Nothobranchius furzeri: one gene and its partner. The protein of the gene in region 2 interacts with the protein of the main gene of each other region in a pairwise test. Links are inferred from orthologs where the notes say so. Each region holds a gene or a part of one and is shown on either strand. Other genes may lie near its edges.

Region 1 (4,951 bases), on a different chromosome or scaffold from region 2:
CAGGATATTCATGACTGCTACCTGGATCTCTTCCAAACACACCTTCATTTTGTCTCAAACAACACCACTGGACTAACATACCAGGTACTTTCCATCCCTCCGATCCACGCTATTTTAGGAGCTCTTTCATGAGTTTTATAGGTTTCGTATCATGTAATCTTTTGTAATCCTAATTTTTGACTCGCATCCCGCCTACCAGAACTTTTATTTGGTGCACAGAAAGTATGATTAAGTTTCGTCAGCTGTCTCGTAACCTTTTAGAAGTGCCGTTAATCATCATTTCACTGCTCTCCAGAGCTCAGCTTCATGTTAAAAAGAGACAACGAAGCACCTGTGTGTTAGTCAGACTTCAGATTACCTCAAAACTAAGACAGACAGGGATACATCACTGATTTATGAGTCCTTGTCAAACTCGCTTGTTTTGTTTTTGGTGAACACAACTCTAGAGTTCAATCTTCATTTTAAACGCTAAGAGAGAGGATTGATGCGAATAAGTTCTAAATTTGTAAATATTCCCATCTTAAAAAGTGTAAATTGATTTTTTTTCCCCACAGGGGACTCTTCCACTGAAAGAGCTCACCATCTCCAACCTGCAGCAGAACTGCAACCACAGCCAACCTCAGGAATATGCCTTCCAAATAAACGGTGAGAAAAAATAAATCATGCACACAAAAACTGTGTGGGTGTTGGCGCACAGCGCTGGTATTTTATAATTGTCAGTTTTGTTTTATTGGCTCTGCTGAGTTTGTATAATCAGTCTTTCCGAATAAAAATCCAGAGTGTCTATGTCGGGGTCTGATTTAAACAGCCAAAGCTGGATGACTGTGGGCGCGGAGGCTGAATTCTCCTTCTGTAATAAGTATAAGTGTCATTGTTTTGTAGCCATTGATGGTGTGTCTAATCTGTCATTAGTTAAAGTAAAAAAAAAATCTATTAAAAATGCCACACTATTTCACGGTTTTGGCATTTCCTGCTTGTGTTATCACGTTTCAACGACCCTCTTCACCTTTTCACCTCCCGTCTGACCCAAGACCGACTAAAGCCGGGCCTCCGTCCCCTCCGGTCGGGGGGTAAACTAGCTTTTAAAAGCTTGTTAGACAACAGGTGCATCTCTGCGAACCCAGCTGTCGCATAGAAAAGCCCGGCTATCGCTCTTCGTCTCGTCAAAGAGTATAATCCATGGTACATTCAACAGATCTGGTCTGTGTCCTTTATGAATGAAAAAAAGTTTTTGATCTTTAACTTAATTGAACAAATCCCCATATTTCTTTATTAAATATTAAAAGCTTTAAACTGAATCCAGAACTGTGTACAAATAACTCCTGTTTATCTTTACATTCCCGCTGAAGTCCCTGCTGTCACAACGTTGGCCCTCATTGGTGTTCCTTTGTTGGGATTTGTGTTTGCGAGGTTCCCAGCTCTACTTTGTTAGTTTTTGGCTTCACGTTTCCTCTTTTCCTATTCAAATACGAAGTCTCATTTGCCTTTTGGGAGGCATCACTGACAGGAAGTTGAATAAAAATCTGAGTCAAATGGAAGATATGTAGTGGATGTTTCCCCTCTGAGATGAGTGGTGGTGAGTTAGATGGTGACGAAGCACACACGATTCAAGAGGATGTTCGAGAATTCCCGGAAGCTCCCACATAATCTAGATAAACGTGGTTGTAAACGTAGGTTAATAATGAATAATTGCTTTTAACAATAGCTTGTGGCCCCTGTGAACTAACTGGAGGTTTAAATGAGTTTTCATTGGCTGGATTTCTACTGAGAAAACTAAACTTTTTAAGGAGTGAAAGAATTTATAGGAATGGTTACGGGCACGGTCCCTAATGAGGATCTGGCCTGAAAAACGGAGAAGTCAACATTTGGGCTTCGGTAGATTATTAGAGTACAAAGCCATAAACTGGAATGAAATCAAATGCTGGTTATCTTTGGTATGTGTGGGACTGATGGGTGGAGGGAGATTGCAGCTCTCATCATCCCGACTCCGTCTATTCCCTCTGATCTGTTTGCTATGAGGCCGCAGGTCAGTGAGGGATCCACATCTGGTTTACTGTTCTGAACATGTGTTAGCATTTATTGCACTTGTTGCGTAACATGGTGTAAACAAATAAACTCTGTGCTAACATAACAGAAAAGATTTTTTAAAAAGACAGATAACGACTCTTTCTCTGCATGCCTTTGTAACCTTTGAACCCTGCAGGTGTCAGCTTGAATCCCATCATTGTCTACTACGGCAGCCAGGAGGAGATGGACCTGTGGTTCAGCCTGCTCACAGAAAACATCGAGGTGAACGGAGGTTCTGCTACCACGCCTGAAACCTGCACCAGAGTGAGAGTAAGTCTAATGAGAGCTGTCTAATTTCTTTTTGTGTTTGCCACACCGGGATCAATTCAAACATCTCATTTCAAAACTCGATCGCATGTTTGATTCCGCCTGGCACATTAGCCTCATTTCCAGCCGCTCCTGATAAAACAGGATGTGTGACTGTGTAAATACAGTGAGTAATGATCACTGCGTGCTTCTGCCTGAATGCTAGGGAGAGATCTGGACCACATCATAACACATATTTCTGTTCATCTGGCGGTGATACTGTCTAACTTCTGTGATCTGATGTGTATCTACAGATGAACCAGAGCAAAGGTCACATTGGAAGAGTGGACCTGAGGAAGTCTATCAACAGAGAGCCCATCTATGAGTGGGAGGGCTCTCAGCGGGACAGCTTGGGCCCCATCACCTACGTCACCAAAGTCCGACTGCAGCACCTGCCCTGTCAGGTATGACGTCACAGCTGCTTCTCTCACCACCCCCAGACCTCTTACCAAACTTTGGAAACCCACAGCGTAACAGGCTGTCACTCATAATGCTAATGTGTTTTCAAAGCCGTGGGAACTTTTTCTCACGATAAATAAAAAGCAGGATAATATCAGTGCTCTAAATCCAGGTGACTCACATGGTTTTTCACATTGTGCAATGCATTACCTCAACACAGTGCAAGGAGAGAAAAGGGTGGTGTCCATGTTTTATAGCAAATTACTCTCTTCCGGTTGTTTATCTATACAGCGTGTTTTATTCTCACGTTGCACCACAGAGTCAGAGATGCATAAACCAACTGAGTGAAATATTCAACCCCATCGAATGAAATCAAGCAAGATCCCTGTGAATGATGCCAAAACAAGCCGTTAATCAACACTGTAATCATGACATGCCTTTGCAGGGATATCTGTTAATTCTTTATGAGAAGCAGCGGCATATCTATTGATGTGATTTAGTGCCTTGGGCGTGTGAGAGGCATTCGCTCGGCTCACACAGCGACTCAACTCACCTCACGGCTGGAATGTCAGCTGTCTGTTCAGACACACCCCACAAGAGAGAAGAAACATAAACTCTGGATCTGCTGCACCTTCAAAAGTCTCACAAACTGGTTCGACCTCTGCGGGGTTTAAAGCGTGCCTCTCAACGCAGAATTAAAAGATAAATCCTGTGCTTTTTTAAAAACTCGCTCCGGGTCTCATGGTTCACTCTGTGCCTTGTCTTGTGGTTTTATCTTTCCCTGAAGTTATCAGGGCTCACTTTCTTTTCCATGAAAGGTACTTAGGTACCGTTTATCTTTGGAGTTGGCCTCAGAGTAAAAACAACTGATAACAGTGTTCAGGTTGAGAAACACTTTTAGAAAACTGGAATTACGTGTACTTTAGAGTTTTATACTTGATAATAAAAATAAAAAAAATCACAGAATGGTGTGTTATCTAAAACGTGTACATGCTGTCATCATCTTACATGTTCAGGAGAAGAGTGACAGATTGCTGGTGATGTACCCATCCACCCTGATCATCCTATCAGAGGAAAGCGACAGGCTCTTCTATAAGGTGCAGCAGACCGTCCTTTACTGTCAAACCTGGATTATGTGAGTAGTATTAAAGATTTACTCTGATTACAGGGCAAACTTCCACTCAACATGATTACCGTCACCACTCCCTGTCAGGACGTCAAGCCCAACACCTTTAAGATTGAAGGTAAGAACAGTGAATCACGTTTTCTTCTGAAAACACTCAATAAGAAGCACACACTCCCAAGTGCCTTTGAGTGACCTCCCTCTTGGAACTGCTGCCGTCATAGAACGAAGCCCCTCTATGAATGGGAGGGTTTTATCCTTACTAAAGCACATTCCAGCGAGCAAGCAGACCAAATGACACCCTTTGTTTACCCCCCCCCCCCCCAGGCAAAATGATCAACCCCATAGTGGTGTCCTGTCTGGATAGGACCGAGTTCTGTGACTGGATCCAGCATTTCAAAGCTGCTGACGTGCCTGTTGTCAGCCCCCCGCCCCCGGTGTATGACATCATCTACACCCCTACGAACACAGAGGTGAGGGCTGTTCCCTTTTACTTTCACCGCGTAAGTGTGATGATGTCACTGTTCACAGCTGTTGATGATTTACAAAAGGATGGTCCCGTCCCCCCCCCCTTTGATCTTAGCCTGCACGACGCCCTGCAACAGTCTGCTCATGTACATGAAGCCGGTGTTTGTTAGAATGAATCCCTGAACGTGCAGCCCGTCACACTTCACACCTACACTCCAACTCAGCTCTGTGACTACCACCTTTACTGGTTTAGAGCCTAAACAGCACCCCTTCTTTCTGCAGACATTTGACACACAACACTGAAATGAGAAGAAGGTGTTTCCGTCTCTTGGGTGTCTTGTGTGAAATGAACTATAGATATGCTTTACATGTACGTGCCAATTATGTCGTATAGGAGTAAATGAATCGTATACCCAAAGGTATGTGTCATCTGTGAACCTAAATCCAGTCTGGGTCATATTTAATCCGAGGCACCAAGGATCTCAGTTGAACTTTTCTGGCCTTTCCTCGTTTGTCAGAATTTCATCAAAACCTCCAAAAGACAAACTTGGAAAAGTTCTGCTGGCATTTTAAAGCCTCTTTCCAAAA
Region 2 (4,951 bases):
TCTGCCCATCATTTGTGTTGAGAGATCAGCAGTGTTTGGATCAACAAAGTGTGACTACTTTGATAGTGGAAACTGTATTTATGGCTTACTTTTGTGCATTTAAACTTCAGCCGCCACTGATAGTTGTTAAAAGTTGTTAAACCTGTGCATATGAAACAAAAAACGCCTTTTGTTTATCGATGTATTGTGAAAAACGGAAATTGTGCTTGCTCCTTTTCCTGTTGGACGGTTGTGATTTCTGTCCATTTACTGCGGAGGTGCTTCGGCGTCCGGCAAAAATAGGATCGATTCTATTTTTGCCGGACGCCGGAACAGAGGGCGGCGCACGGCGCCGCACTGCCGGAGCACGGCCGCAGTAGTGGAATTGCTCTGATTGACTACAACGGGACCGATGTTGCTCCGGCTTTCGTGTCGGAGCGGAGCGCAGCGGAGCGGAGGTAGTGGAATTTGGGGGTTACATCTGGTAACATCAGAGTAACGTCACGGTAACATCAGGTTACATCAGATAACATCAGAGTAATGTCAGAGTAACATCGGGGTAACGTTAGGGTAACGTCAGGGTAACATCAGAGTAACATCAGGTAACATCAGAGTAACATCAAGTTAACATCAGAGTTACATGAGAGTAACATCAGGTAACATGAGGGCAACATCAGGTAACATCAGAGTAACATCAGGTAACATCAGAGTAACATCAGGTAACAGAGTAACATCAGATAACTTCGGGGTAATATCAGAGTAACATCATGTTACATCAGAGTAATATCAGAGTAACATTAGGTAACATCAGGGTAACATCGGAGTAACATCAGATAACATCGGAGTTACATCAGGGTAACATCAGAGTAACATCAGGGTAACATCAGGTAACTTCACAGTAATGTCTGAGTAATGTCGGGGTAACATCAGAGTAACATCACATAACATCGGAGTAATGTCAGAGTAACATCGGGGTAACGTCAGGGTAACATCAGAGTAACATCACGGTAACACCAGGGTAACATCAGGTAACATCAGGGTAACATCAGAGTAACATCAAGGTAACATCAGAGTTACATGAGAGTAACATCAGGGTAACATCAGGTAACATGAGGCAACATCAGAGTAACATCAGATAACATCGGAGTAACATCAGAGTAACATCAGGTTGCATCCGAGTAATATCAGAGTAACATTAGGTAACATCAGAGTAACATCAGGTAACATCGGAGTAACATCAGGGTAACATCAGGGTAACATCAGAGTAACATCAGAGTAACATCAGGTAACTTCACAGTAACGTCAGAGTAACGTCGGGGTAACATCAGCGTAACATCAGGGTAACATCAGAGTAGGGTTGTCACGGTAATCGGTGTAGCGGTAAACCCCGGTAAAAAAGTTGACAATAATAATAACGTCTTGTTTTTAAAAAACTATATTATCTCGGTGGGTTTACCGCGGCTGAGGTGTAGGCGCGGTGACCCTTACCAGCCACCGTATCATCTGCTGAAGTTGCTGGCGGCACATGCGCGCTTTGTTGTTTACAACCAAAACCTTCTTGAAGCTAAAGCTGAAATAATGGCCAAAGGAGGAGACGGCAGCGTTCAGGACATTTATTATCCTTTAAAGAAGACAAAGTGGGAAGTACGGGCATTTTTTGGATATTTGAAGAATGCCGAGGGACAGTTTATAGAAGACGGCTATCCTTTTTGCAGCACGTGCAGAAAAAGTGTTTGTGAAAGGCAGGAACGCTTCAAATCTCATGACACATCTGCGTGACCATCACCCACAACTCTACAGTCAACGCGAGGCAAGTTAACGTTAGCGTTTTAGCTAAAATGCCTGATCCGAGGATTTGGGTTGAGGGAGAATGCAACAAGTCGCTATATAAAGCAGCCGCAGCGCCGCTACCTGCATATAAACCGTGTCACGGACACCCCCATGTTGAAATGACGCTATGCATTACGGGGCTCCCAGGGGCAGATAAGAGTTGGTCTCTCTCCAAGAATAATTATGAATTTAACAATGATTACCGCCTGATGACATTTTCCCACATCTGCAAAGCTCACTGGAAGGACACAAACCGAGGACAATATTTTCCTGATATAGGGTTTATTACTCAAGTAAGGGTAAAAAAGTATCTGATTAGAAGGCTGCTTGAGTACTGAGTATCATCTGGTCTAATATTTTTAAAATGATGACATCAAACAGACAACAAATAAGAAGTTATGGGCAAATATTGGTATTTTAAAGACTAAAGGGGAAAAATGTAAACAAATAACATAATTACAAAATAACACATTTTAGGCAAAATTTAGACACAAACTGAGGACAATATTTTCCTGATATACAGGGTTTATGTAGTTATCTGAAAATGTAACATGTTTAAAAAAATACCACAATAATACCGAAAACCATGATACTTTTGGTCACAATAACCGTGAGGTAAAATTTTCACACTGTGACAACCCTCCATCAGCGTAACATCAGGGTAAAATCAGAGTAACATCAGGGTAACATCAGTTAACATCAGATAACATCAGAGTAACATCAGAGTAACATCGAGTAACAGAGTAACATCTGGCAATATCAGAGTAACATCAGAGTAACAACAGATTAACATCAGGTTACATCAGATAACATCGGAGTAATGTCAGAGTAACGTCGGGGTAACGTCAGGGTAACTTCAGAGTAACATCAAATAACAGAGTAACATCAGAGTAACTTCAGGTAACATCAAAGTAATATCATTGTTACATCAGGTAACATCAAGTAACATCAGGTAACATCGGAGTAACATCAGGGTAACATCATGGTAGCATCAGGTAACTTCAGAGTAACGTCAGAGTAACGGTGGGGTAACATCGGAGTAATGTCAGGGTAACATCAGGGTAACATCAGAGTAACATCAGGGTAACATCAGAGTAACATCAGGTTACATCAGATAACATCGGAGTAATGTCAGAGTAACATCGGGGTAACGTTGGGGTAACGTCAGGGTAACATCAGCGTAACATCAGGGTAACATCAGAGTAACATCGGCGTAACATCAGGGTAACATCAGAGTAACCAACTCTGATGTTACTCTGATGAAGACCAAATAAGTGTCGAAATGTTAGTATCTCGTTTGCATCCATTAAAACTTTTTTTCTCACTTTGAGGGCTCCAGCCGTCCTCTGTTTTCTGAAGAATTCTATATGTTCTAAGTGATTTTGATGTCTTTTCTCTTTTGCTGCTGTTTTGTTTTTTGGGCAGGACCTGAAGAGAAGTGCAGCACCAGTGACCACGGCAGTGCCAGCATCAGGAAGTCCAGACACATCCGTGCCAGGTATCAGCTCAGTCTGATCATCAGGAATGAATTATCAATTTCAGATCCGAGCATCTGTGAGAGTTACCTAAAAGCCTCAGAATTATAATAACGATAATTTGGGTTGCTATTCGCTGAGTTTGTTATGTTTGGTATTTTCACAGATTTTGTTTATTTAAAATCACTTATGAAATGTTTTAATTGAGAAACTGAACATAATGTGGCTGCTTCAGCTGTTTACGCCTGATTTTACAGGCAGTCCAGGTTCGGCTGATCCCATGTTGGAAGCTATCATCCAGGAGAAGCTAAAGGGGATCAGCAGAGAGGCTTCTGACAGGAATGACAAGTACAGAAAGTGCAAGCAGATGCTGTTTGTAAGACTTTAAAAAATAGATTTTTGTTCATTTAGTTCAGAGTGAAAATGTGTCAAACTAAACGCTCAACGCCTGTCCTTCTGTAGGAGGAAAAGGAGCGTAGTGGCATGTTTGCTGATGAATTGGCCAAGTTGGAGCTGAAGTTCAAGGAGCAGCTGAAGACTAATGAGAATCTGAAGCTGCAGCTGGCAGAAGCAGAAGATCGTTACAAGGTGGGAGCAGCCGGTGTGCTGACGCTTAGCTTAGCTCAGGCTGATGGCAACGTTCTGGTATCTTCAAAGCAGCTCTGTCTGAGTGTTTTTACCAGCGAGTAGGGCTGCTCTAGCTCAGGGATGGGGACTTTGATGCTATCTCCTCTTGAACACAGCTACTCTGACAGTGTTGTTTATGAGCAGGCCTGTCTGCATGTTGACCTTTTACTGCTGTTTATGTCAGACTGGAGACGAGTAAAGCTCGGCTTGGAGGAGTCCTCTCTAGATGTGCAGCTAATGCTGGGCTTGGCTCAGGTCAGGCGGATATTTGCTTAATGTCTCAGCAGGAATTCAAACAGGTTGTTTTGCTTTGAGCCGTATTGTGCATAAATCAGACTTTTGCTAAAAGGAAGCCGTTTATGGCTGGGATCAGTTACCCCAAGCTCCGACTGTATTTCAGGCACACAGTTTTCAATCAGCGGCACGATACGTCTGAAGACTTGGTTAGAAACCGTTTTCCCATTCCTCTGTTTTTGTGTCTGTTTGCTGCAGAGCCAGGTAGCTGAGAAAGGACGGGAGCTGAAGGAGCTGAAGGACACTCTTGCCCTTGTTGTGAAGGAGAAAGAAAAACTGGAGGGGGTTAGTGACGGCTTTATTTTCTCTTTTAAAGACTTGTCTAAAATGTCCCTGAGTTACTCCACACTCCTGCCATTTTCCCTCTCAGCCTGCCCTGTGTTTCACACGCCTCTAATTGTAGAAGTGAAGTTCTCCATGACTTCGGACCACTTAGTTTTAGTTGATGCTGGTGCCGTTCTCAGGGGTGAAGTCACACTATTTGAGGTTTTTACTGAATTAACTTCAAATAACATCAATAAAACAAAGTTATTTAAAAGTGAGACTTTTTGCTTTTCATTGAGGCATTAATTAAATTGATTGTGTGAAAAGTCCCAGCAGAAGCTGCTGGCTGGCTGTGACGACAAGCAGCCATACACGGCTTCTCGTAGCAGACGTGCTCATAAAGGCGGCCTGTTGTAACGTTTTGCTCTGGTCCTCTAGGAGCTCCAGAGGAGCAGCGGGAAGGGTGATCAGGGGGCCAGTGA

What was found.
Region 1: the proteins of tax1bp1b (region 2) and plekhn1 interact in binary tests that used the Homo sapiens proteins (3 or more experiments, as listed by UniProt). The two-hybrid records come from large-scale screens. The link is inferred for Nothobranchius furzeri from reciprocal best matches to the Homo sapiens genes TAX1BP1 and PLEKHN1.

Annotation. Positions count from the first base shown.
Region 1 is NC_091755.1:28,958,005-28,962,955, forward strand, and holds part of plekhn1 (probable pleckstrin homology domain-containing family N member 1), read left to right. Parts: intron 1-3; coding exon 4-84; intron 85-554; coding exon 555-645; intron 646-2,203; coding exon 2,204-2,337; intron 2,338-2,627; coding exon 2,628-2,777; intron 2,778-3,788; coding exon 3,789-3,869; intron 3,870-3,940; coding exon 3,941-4,016; intron 4,017-4,222; coding exon 4,223-4,368; intron 4,369-4,951. UniProt on the Homo sapiens protein: Controls the stability of the leptin mRNA harboring an AU-rich element (ARE) in its 3' UTR, in cooperation with the RNA stabilizer ELAVL1.
Region 2 is NC_091757.1:59,003,793-59,008,743, reverse strand, and holds part of tax1bp1b (tax1-binding protein 1 homolog B), read left to right. Parts: intron 1-3,234; coding exon 3,235-3,307; intron 3,308-3,541; coding exon 3,542-3,660; intron 3,661-3,746; coding exon 3,747-3,872; intron 3,873-4,403; coding exon 4,404-4,490; intron 4,491-4,907; coding exon 4,908-4,951.